Neodiprion lecontei: one gene and its partner. The protein of the gene in region 1 interacts with the protein of each later gene in a pairwise test. Links are inferred from orthologs where the notes say so. Each region holds a gene or a part of one and is shown in the gene's direction. Other genes may lie near its edges.

What was found. The genes of interacting proteins can lie anywhere in the genome.
Region 2: the proteins of histone-lysine N-methyltransferase SUV39H2 (region 1) and histone H1-like interact in binary tests that used the Drosophila melanogaster proteins (3 or more experiments, as listed by UniProt). The link is inferred for Neodiprion lecontei from reciprocal best matches to the Drosophila melanogaster genes Su(var)3-9 and His1:CG31617.

What each region holds. Positions count from the first base shown.
Region 1 is NC_060264.1:30,370,921-30,376,542, forward strand, and holds the start of histone-lysine N-methyltransferase SUV39H2, read left to right. Parts: upstream 1-2,342; 5' UTR 2,343-2,486; coding exon 2,487-2,558; intron 2,559-3,550; coding exon 3,551-3,614; intron 3,615-3,775; coding exon 3,776-3,886; intron 3,887-5,383; coding exon 5,384-5,622. Other genes in the region: ribosome biogenesis protein NSA2 homolog, read right to left, coding at 1-590. UniProt on the Drosophila melanogaster protein: Histone methyltransferase that specifically trimethylates 'Lys-9' of histone H3 using monomethylated H3 'Lys-9' as substrate.
Region 2 is NC_060263.1:38,370,861-38,376,482, forward strand, and holds histone H1-like, read left to right. Parts: upstream 1-2,403; 5' UTR 2,404-2,466; coding exon 2,467-3,156; 3' UTR 3,157-4,110; intron 4,111-4,309; 3' UTR 4,310-4,777; downstream 4,778-5,622. Other genes in the region: enhancer of rudimentary homolog, read right to left, coding at 21-23; histone H3, read right to left, coding at 5,565-5,622. UniProt on the Drosophila melanogaster protein: Histones H1 are necessary for the condensation of nucleosome chains into higher-order structures.

The sequences.
Region 1 (5,622 bases):
CCAATAATTGGGAGACAGAATGTGGCTTTTAGTTCTGGATGAGTAACGTGTGCCTTCTTGAATCTGAGAGCCATAGGTCTGATGAACCTCTCAAACTTTGGTGGTTTCCTGGTAAAACTTTCACCAACAAATGTTACTTTTGTCACCATTCGCTTCCATGCTTTCCGCTTGGATTTTCCAGTTCGCATCACCTTGAACACCTCTGAGTCTGACTGTGCCCTTACTTTTGGTATCGGGACATCCCATTTACCAGCCTTTTCTTTACGTTTTTGTTTTATGAGGTTGGATAAGACTTTCGCGCGCGAAGAAACGTCCCTGTCCAGCAGGTAAACTGGAAGCGCTCCCTCTGGGGTGGGTTCAGTTTTCTTTCGGACATTTTTCTCCTCGTGAGCCTTGATCTTCTTTTTCATCTGGATCTTCTCATTGCGGCGTTCTTTGTTAAAGATCTTTGCCTTCAATCCTCGCAGGCTGCGTGCTTTTTCTGCACGTTTGTGAGGTTCCCTAGCCTCTCGCTTACGCTTGCGTTCTTCATAGTCAAGCCGCCTTCCATACAAGGTTCGGAAACGGTCCATATACTCATTTTGTGGCATTTTGTTTTCTTACATCTGCTTGCTGAAACAGAAAATTTCTATGTCTTTTAATTAGCACATGTCGATGTTCAGATTTGGACAGTTGGCTAATTGATAATTACATATTTTATATATACTTGGTTTGAAAATTTACAAATAAATTTGATCTATTCTTTACAGCAAAGAACTTACCTTAGACTTTTTTTCAATCGTCGATTTCACAGATACACAGACATTACCTGTCCAACAATTATTTTTTCTTCGATCTCCCCACTTCAAGCCAAGGAATACAAAGCCATGATTTCTGGTTCTTGAAATTGACGCAACTTGTGATAACTTCTTAACAAACTCAATTTAATAACGCTAATTGAAAATATCTAGTTTTGATATAAAATTATTCAAATTCATTGAGTAAATGGAATATTTGCTTTCACAACTTCAGCAGCTACAACCAGACTGCCCAAATCTTGAATTAAAACGTACGAGTCTTATAATATAATTGCGTGATCGTACAAATATTGAGATTTGCAGACTAGCGATTGTGGTAATATTGTAGAGCGCGAAACTTGTACCGGTACAAATGTTACGCATAAGCTAAAGATGTACCCGAATCAATGAAGTAAAACTGTTGTATGACAGCAAAAAGCAAACATATCAAAACATAATAGAAAAAAAAACAGTAAGTTTGATGTAAACTATTTCATGAAATACTTTGGATTAGAGTCCAAAGGTTCGCCAAACACTGCCCCGTGAGAATAGCATGTGGGCGATTGGTGACGGAGGTTATTTTGTAGAAAATGAATGCTGCGAAAAAACATATGACCTTTAGCTAAAATTACATACATTTCGCTATGTTTCTATTACAAATCAGCGACTACCGTTGAAGATCGTTAGATTTCAATAGTCATCAGCGGTATCGCCAATGCATTTTGTAATGGAGAAGAGCACGCGCTGGACCGACCAAGTGGGCAGAAAAACGTGGCAAATGTCAGGATTAGGTAAAAGTAGTATTGGATCACAGCAGGATCGTTTTCGCGCATTTACAACAGCAGTTAAGCAGTTTCGATAGATAGAAATGTCGTTCAGGGCGTTAAATACCGCAAAATGTTAAGTATTTGAATGAAAATTAGAGAAACATATTCTAACTCACCTACAGCCGACCACGCCAGGAACAGAAAAGACCGCCGAGTATCGAAGCGGCTTAGAGGGAAAGTCGAGTGGATAAGAAATCTTTCTCCCCTTCTTGCGACGTTCACCTTATGCCATGAACCACGCAGATGCTGTGCGTTCCGTCGGTAATGCGTTAATACATTGGTATTAGACACGCTGCAATCTATTCAGTGATTTTATGTATGTATGCACACACAATCATGAATGCACAGGTCAAATTTCAATGTCACCATCGATTTATCTTACGCATTAAATCTACTATAATGTGCTTGAAATGATTGTTTAAATCGATACATAGACCAAACAGTTGACATAACGACGATTTCCATCTACCTTGTTCCGTCAGAAATTTGCATATAATATGTTTTTAGAATCAGTTGTACAGTCGGGAAAACTAAATGCTTCATTCGTTTTTTATATATACGTGCATAATTATAGTACGTCAACTATTTATTTAACGTTTCAATCGAATTTCAATGAGAGTTTCAGTCCTGTTCAAAGTTTTGGCTCGCAGCCACCAGTGAAGCGCTGTGGACACCTAGCATGACGAATCGTCAAAAGTTTGTGTCCGAAAAACTGTCACCAGATGGCGACAAGATTCTAAAGAGTTCCGGCGTTCTTTGCATGCGCATCTCTGCTTCTGCCCTGTCGCCCGTTGTCACCAATTCCAAGTTTTAGCGCCGCCAGCCGCGAGCCTAGACTCTAAATAGTTTAGAGATTTTTTATTAATTAAAGTTAATCGCAAATATGGGAGGTGACGAAGGCATCGGGGTTACAACAGGGCAGCCTAATTTATACAAGCAAGATTTATCGAAGCTCGTAAGTTCCGGCGTTAGCTATCCGCCTCGATTAGATTATCTTAGCCGACATATTTTGTACAGGCTACTGCCACTGCTGCTTTAATTCTCAAACATATTTTATCCCCTGGATATCACATTCCAGTTTGACGATGTTCAATTATTGCTTCGAAACATCGGCCGATGCTTTGCACTGATTAATTTTCGGAGAACTCGCTTAACAGCACTTTAACGTAACCTCAAACATCTATTCACGCGCTGTCCTTACACACGGTTCCGTATAATGGCGTGGCTTAGGGCTGGTTAAGAACTTCGTAGGGCCTAAACTTTGCTTTGAAATTCGCTATCCATGCATTATCATATTTACAATCAATCAACTAACTGTAATCGAGCTCCCCACATTCCCCTAGCGAATCGTGGCGCGTTATGGAGCGATTTTACGTGAACGTGCGATTTCACATGACAAATGAAAAAAAAAATATCCGTCCAATTTTGGAACGCATTATTCAAATGCATTGAATTAACGGATTCCTTCACCTGAATATGGGATAGAAACAAAACGACGCTAGGTTAGGAATCAATCACCTCATTATCTCAAATGTCAGATGGACTTGGGAATAGTTTTTTCATACAATATGTTGTAGGTTTAGAACTCATGGATTCATAGTGCAAACGAAAAATATTCACACCGCTCTACAGGAATAAGTGTATTTAACCCAAAGTAAATATTGTAACCAATTTTGATTAGCAAAGAACCAATGCACCTTGTTTCTTAGTGAAAGAATTCCAAGCGCATTTTTGTTAAATACCAGTTTAGAGACTTGCTTTCAGATATTGCTGGTTTAGAAATCAATATAAATGATGAATGAGTAAAAACATGAGTGATATCTTCTGATTTTTTTATAGTATTCATTTGAAAGCTTTATGCGAAGAATTTTAAGAAAGTTATTGATAATAAGACAAATTTGGTACTGAAATTAACCGTGAAATCATATAAACCTTTTTTTATTTCAGGATGTTGGTAAGTTGACTGCACTGTCCCGGGAAGTCATCAGCCGACAGGCGACGATAAACATTGGTAAGAACAATTTTTTGTGAGAAGTATCTAAACGATGTTATTAAAATATTAGAAACGACAAATTATACATGAATGCTAATTATTAAAATTACCTTATTATGTTTTCAATACCATTAGCATTCAGAGCTGATTAAATTACAATTTTCATTATTTTTCCACAGGAACGATCGGACATGTAGCCCATGGAAAGTCAACAATCGTCAAAGCCATTTCAGGCGTGCAAACTGTACGGTTTAAAAATGAGCTGGAAAGAAATATTACCATCAAACTCGGTATGCTTCACTTGAGAAATTATTTCAAATGTCTAATATAAAAATTTAGTTGATGATGGTATTTTTTTATAACTAGTAATAAGTACTAACTAAGTCATTATCGTATTATTCCTGAATGATTACTTTCAATTATCTAACCTTGTAGGACATGGAATGCTTCTAAGTTTTATTGACTTCTAAGAACTGTCCAAAACCTAGGCTTTCCTACGAATGTCTTCATGTGAACATATCTTGTTTCAATCAACTGGAGATTGTATACAAAGAATGGATACTCATTTTTCAACCCAAAACTTTACTTGTTGATACTTTGCAGAAACAACTCATAGCATCAAATGATCTCATTGCATGCATTAAATACATAGCACATTATTAAAAATAGTATCCAACAGTCGGGAAGGTCAGGATATTTAATCAACGAAATTTCACACAAAATCCAGGGTTCGCAATGCTTTTAAGCCACGTAATTTTAGGAAAAATAGAGAAACACTTTGTGAAAATAACGGGCTATTAGGGTTTCAATATTTTTTCATAGTATTTACCAAACAGAGCAAAATTAGATACACACTAGGGTGTACGTCATTTTGGTAATTTTGAAATTTTTTTAATTGTACCCCAAAAATGTGTTTGAATTGTAGAAAAATAAAATCCCCTGTAAATATAAAAATTTTCGCACAATATTCAGACGTACCGGAGGATGACTGAAATTTTGAATGTACAATACATTTAAATCTTCGCTACATATTGATTTTTTTTTTGTACAAACTAAAATGAATTGAAAACATAAATTCGATGGTTGAGAATAATGTTTCTATTTTCAACTAAATGTAGGATCGAAATAATTCGGGGGTAGCGTAAGTATTCCGTAGATAACGACACTCCATGAAACCGTAAAAATTATGGTCTTGTGAAAAATAGGTTACTTTCAGGGAAATAGGGGATTAATGTGTAGCTCGAAAATCTTGAGCAAACTTTACCACAGTCCTCAATTTTTTTAATTTTCTGCCCGTATCCGAGAGATATTTGACGGTGTTTCATTTTAGACATTCAAATTTTGTCGCAAAGCTTCTCATTTCTCTTAAATAAAATTCGTTCAGAAGAACAAAGGCGATACAAATGTTAATGAGGATAAAAGTAAAAGATATTGAAAAGCGCAAAAAAAAAAAAAAAAAGGTGGAAGCAACCCCACGTATGAAAGTGAAGTAATAAAGAAGATCGAAGAGGAAAAAATAGCATGTAAGAACGGAAAACGGTACCTATAATAAGAGAAGGTGCAAAATTTGGCGTGTCATGAAAATAAAAAAAAAAATAAATGAATAAATAAAAGAAACACTCGTGCTGAATCCTAAAGTAAAGCACAGGGGTCGAAAATAGAAACGGATCATTCACCAAAACAATGAAATGGTGAAAGAAATATCGATTTAATAAAAGTAAATAATCTTTGTCTCCTCCATGAAATAGAACGGATGAATCACGCCGTTTAAATCTTTGGCATTACAGAGCCACACCATGCGGAGGCGATCAACAAAGAAAATGGAAAAAACAGTGTCGAAGAGGCAGATCCTGCGGATAAAAGCCCGCCTCCGATCTCCAACTCGAGTACGTCCCAATTTACAAAAAAACGTGCTATATTTCGGAGCTCTGACGCAGAGCGTCCTGTCAAGATACCACGGCTTAGCGAGGGTGATAACGATAACGACACCGATGATGACAACGACAACGAGGATGATGACGACATT
Region 2 (5,622 bases), on another chromosome or scaffold:
GAACACGAGTAGTCACTCACCATTTTGTCAAGTCAAATCAGTTTGGATGTGAAAACTGCGATGTGGCGATCGAAGTGGAGACGTAAAAGTTTTTGGCTGTATGGTTAGCAAATGTTTTACAAAATTGATAATGGAAATAAAACGCAGGGTTGAGATTTGCAAAAATAACCACAAAACTGCAGGTCTAGAGTATTCGATTGAACAAAGGTATTGGAATTGGAACGGTCCGGGTTCCACTGTTCTGCCGTTCGCTGTTGACTGTTCATCACGAATTCCGTGGTTTGAAAACGATTTTTTTTTTAATTTCTTTAGCTTTCGAGGAGTTTGAGCTAATATTTTTGGTCTCATTCTGCACTTAGTTTACTGTAATATTTTCCTATTCATCTCGGTTAATGATGATACATGACATCTGCTACCAATAGCGTGGAGAAAATCCAACAAATATTCGCAATGTAATACATGTAATAAGCCGTTTAGAATCTCCTCGTAACCTATACATTTCTGTATCGATAACTTTATAAACCTACATCAAAAAATTCACAATTTTATAGCTACAACCGTTTTTTAAGGAATTAACCAACCGTTGACAAATTTTCAGTCGATTTTCAGAATCCGTAGCACGTTATGCCACTCTCAATCATGATTATAGCTGTATTGTAACCCTTTCACTCTTCTATTATAGGTTAAGGGGGTGCCCTGGTCGGATTCGACGTGGACGTATGTATCTCCAAACATCAAAGTCCATGTATCGCATAAGCGAAAACGACCGGCTTAAACGTCCCACTCCATACACAATTTCGAACAGAAACCCTCCAATTCATTTTCATTTGACGCAGAAATAAATAAATTGCACGAATTCTACGAAATCGCATTAGTAAATTCGTAGAATTCATCCGTTCCTTAATTTTTCTGTGAAATAAAAATGTGTTGTTTTTTTTTTAAATTGCATATAGAATGGAGCTGTTAAGTCTTTTTTGCGTTCGATCGGGAGATACGTGGACTTCGATATTCGAAGATATACATATACGTCGAACGTCGAAATCGACCATAATAAAATTTATATATTGTCGGAAATTATCCGAATTTCGGATTTGATGTTGAAAATGTTAAATCAATGGCTCGTAACAGTCTTGAGATGATAACTAATGAATATACTGTATCTTATACTTATTGGTATAATTGTTTTAAAATCACGTCACATTCCATGATTTTCAATTAATTTTTGATGTGTGTATTTTATTTTACCCATTAAAGGAATCTTATGTGAATTTCTTATAACAAAATATAATTTATCGAGCCTGTCGAATTCTTCCGATCTGATATTTTATTACCTGTCGAAACCTAACCCTGTTTCCATACATGGTACATATTTCGGCGCCATAAAACGCTTGCAGAAAAACCTAATAAGAAAGTAGAAAACGGTATATCGAAAAACCGTAATGTGCGTTATTGAAATATTTATCATAAAAATATGATGGTGGTCTTACATTTTCAGATAATTAACTTGGACCATCGACGTATAATGAGAATACACGCCAAATAAATAAAAGCTTCAACGATCTATTTCTAAATAATTATCAGCATTAGATATAAGTATATGGAATGTATTAATGGGATCTACGGAATAGAAACATCAGACACCCCAATCGAAATTAAAATAGCTCTGTTTATATCAGGCTGCAATATTGGATTGTTCATTCCACAATCTATAATGACTGAATCCATTTACCTGCACCTACATCAACCGAAAGCACCACATGCTTATTAACTTATATACGGATTATCGGCACGGCAATTAATTCGAGGAGGAAAATTTCGTAATTAATTTATCCAAAAACTATTGTCATCATGATTATCTGCGAGGATGGCATTCATCCTTGCTGATGTCGAGCCGAATCTTGTTCGAGCAAATCGCGTCGTCCGAGATGGAGGTTGCTCGCATCCCTTCCGACTTCGACGGCTTATATCGTCGCTCCAGGTCGACCTAGAAAATTGAATTTTTGCATGGAGTTGGAGCAAAGCTTTGACTTGAAGTATCACCTAATTTTATACCCAGTAACCGTCACCTAGGTCGGAAACGTAGCAATTGTTGACCAGGGTGCGATCGCAGCGGAGATGCACAGTCTCAGCCGCTCGCAATTTTCGAGAAATTCTATACAAGAACTCGTTCGAAATCTTTTCCAACCCGTTGTCGAAAGTATGGAGCACCTGGTGACAAAAGCCCGACCACCAGGAACCCCAGGAAAGCTGAGGAAGAGCGATTATCGTCCGCTTACCCGGTTCCACCAGCTCGGAGACTCGTTGCGCGTACTACGTGAAACGCTTGAGGCCTCTCTCCATGGTCCGCGCTCGGGCATAGCTTGGGTGGGGACTTGGCAGTATCGTCATAACTCGTGCATCAGTTGTTTTGTTCGCATCTAAATAATTGCTCTCAAGTTAATTCGACATCAATAATAATCCGCAGTAATGGCAGACAAGGTAGCATCACCTGTAGCAGCCGCTACTCCAACCAGTCCGGCTGTACAAGCGAAGAAAGGTGCCGCTGCTCTGAAATCGCAGAAACCTCGTACCAAGCCGGCGCATCCTCGTACGTCTGAGATGGTCAACTCTGCAATTTCTACTCTGAAGGAACGCGGAGGTTCATCTCTGCAGGCTATTAAGAAGTACATCTCAGCTACGTACAAGATCGACGGAGAAAAACAAGCACCTTTCATCAAGAAATACCTGAAGGCTGCTGTCAGCACTGGAGCTTTAGTTCAGACCAAGGGCAAGGGAGCTTCTGGCTCGTTCAAGATTTCTGCTACGAAGAGTGAGACTTCCAAACCCAAGGTAAAACCAGCAGCACCAAAACCAACTGTACTCAAGAAGAAGGCTGCCCCCTCAGCCGTTTCTTCTAATAAGAAGGTGAGTGCCGCCAAGAAAGCAGCTGCAGCGAAAAAAACCGGCGCTGCTAGTAGTGTTGTCACAAAGGAAAAGCGTCAAGTCGCTAGATCCCCGGCCGCCAAACCACCAAAAGCAAAGAGCTCTTCCAAGGCCAAAAAAGTCGCTAAAGCACCTACAAGCAAGCCTAAAGCACCGAAACCGAAAAAGGCAACAGCTGCCCCGAAAACCGCCAAGCTAGCACCGAAGAAAGCGGCTGCTCCTAAAAAGAAGTAAATCGCTTCGATTTACAGGTGTCATCTACAATAGCAGTGAGCAGCAGCAGCAAGCAGCAGCATCAACACAAAAAAAACGGTCCTTATCAGGACCATCAAAAATTTTTTGCAAAACAAATTTGATCGTACGCACGTTTTCATGTTGATGGTGTATACATAAAATTTATGCCAAACATTTCGGAAATCGTTATTTTGAAGAGCAAATTACGAGTTATAAATTATCCGTATTGCCGATACTAGATAGTTGCTAAAATCAGACGAAAATTTATTTCTGTCGTCTTCATAGATCTTCGATAAACTATCAAATCTTTTAGCCAGCGAGTCGATTCGCGTTCACTAAAACGTCAGGAAGTAGTAGATCCGTCGATTGCTAGCATTATAGGGTTTTCCCTAAGCAAAAATGAAAGAAATTTATCGTCAAGCGGTGCTTTCTGCGTTTTATATGTACGCGCTACTCTAGTTGGTAAACGGTATATGTATAGAGAACAACGGACAGTCTATTACCAACGTTGGCACGTGACAGTTTATGAAGAACTTTCATCGGCCTAGTCAGGAGCTAGGTCGATAATTTACGAATCTGCCGTTATTTCAATGCTCGGAAACGATTACAAAAAAGAATTGAAGCTGACAGTCTGCCTGTTATAAATCCTAAGGATTGCAGTCTTGTCGAGTTTCTACTTCATTCAGGGTCCATGTATTCTCTTTTTCGTGTGCGAACGCGTTGAGGTTCAACCGGATGCGATTGTATTGGCTTTACGACCCATTCTGAATTCGCACGTCATGCAAGCGTAGCTTTGCACTGCTTACGCTGATCGAGACGAGTGAATATAATTTTCGCGTGTGAATTGACTACCTGTAAGTTCGGTGATAAAGTCACGCAGTTACGACACTCGTCGATGTACGTACAATAATTGCAATCGCTTAGCCTACGAGCTGAAGACACTTTTCGTTTGAGGTTAGGAAGAATGAAACGTCATATCGTATTTTATCGTAAATGTTGCATTTCCTTTCTCTTCCTAATTAATTTAAAACCAACTGTTGACATATCGGCCATGTGTTTATTATTGTCTTTGAAAATCATGAATATAATTTTTCCATTCCCGTCCTAATTTAGGACACAAACAATAAACTACATATTTATTTTCTCTTTTCAGCTAGCTTCAGTTGGAACAAGTTCATCTTGGGAAATCTTGAATTTGAACTATCTTCATGTTTATTATTATTAATATTAAAATTTTTTTATAATATAATCATGACATTTAATTTGTGGTAGATATACGTAGCAGCATTTCAATTTCGCAAACTCTTTTTTTTTTACTATTTTCAGCAATCATGATTTCTTTTCATGAATGAAATTTTTTAATTTCAGATTTATACATTATTAATTCCAGATATTTGCATATGTACTTTTGCAAGAATTTAATTTTTTACCTGTAGATTTATTTTTACAGATTGCATATTTTATATATTACTACAGAATCAATTTTATTTATAATCAATATATTTTTTACTAATGAATTCTTTTCGATGCTTTCCAATTAATTATGCCGGTATGGTATTACCGAAATAAATTAGTTAAATCAATATAAGTACAAAATAAAATGCGATCCATTGGTCAATTTACATTTTTTAATTCCGTAATTCCAATTGAATTACCCATTCTCAGACCCAAAATATCTACTGTCTCCGTGGTGTCCTGTGGTCCTGGACATGTCTTTGAATTTTTTTTTTTTTTTGTTGTATCCTGGAAATATTCTATTTTTAAAGTTTGCTGCAAATGATATATTTATTGACGTTCACTGAGTAACTGTTTGTAAAAAGTGGATTCCCACTTCAAATCGTATTTTTCCCTATTAACAGGTGTAGTAGAAGTAATGTATGCTGTCTTTCTGGATTATGTAGAGTGCCTTTTGCATACGTCTTTTAGTTTTCCTGCATGTTTTGAATAACCTAAAAATGCCTTAGAATTCGTTACGTATCTTCTACTAGACACCATGTTCTATCAAATCGTGTCAAATGAAGATGTATCCGAGTGTTTTTGTTCAGAATTGAGTTCAATAAAATGGGGGCTACTCTCATGCCTTCTCGCATTTGAGATACGCGAACCTTGATGTTCGGATGTTTACACGCAACTTTGTAATTGACGAGGGCACTACTTCGAAAGCAATTAAAATATAATGATTGGCAAGTACGGAGTCGATTTCGATGGAATGGTAGAATAAACAAAATTCGAAGTTCGTTGCATTATTACAAAAGTTGCAACAGCTCACTTGCTTTAGGAATTTGGTTAAATTGGATAAGCCCAACGAAAATTCATGTTCGGCATATATGTAGATTCAATTCTTGTGCATAAATTATTTTGGTGGCCCTGAAAAGGGCCGGTTAATTATTGGCTCATTGCAGAGCTATTTAAGCACGTTCACCACGAATACGACGAGCCAGTTGTATGTCTTTAGGCATGATGGTG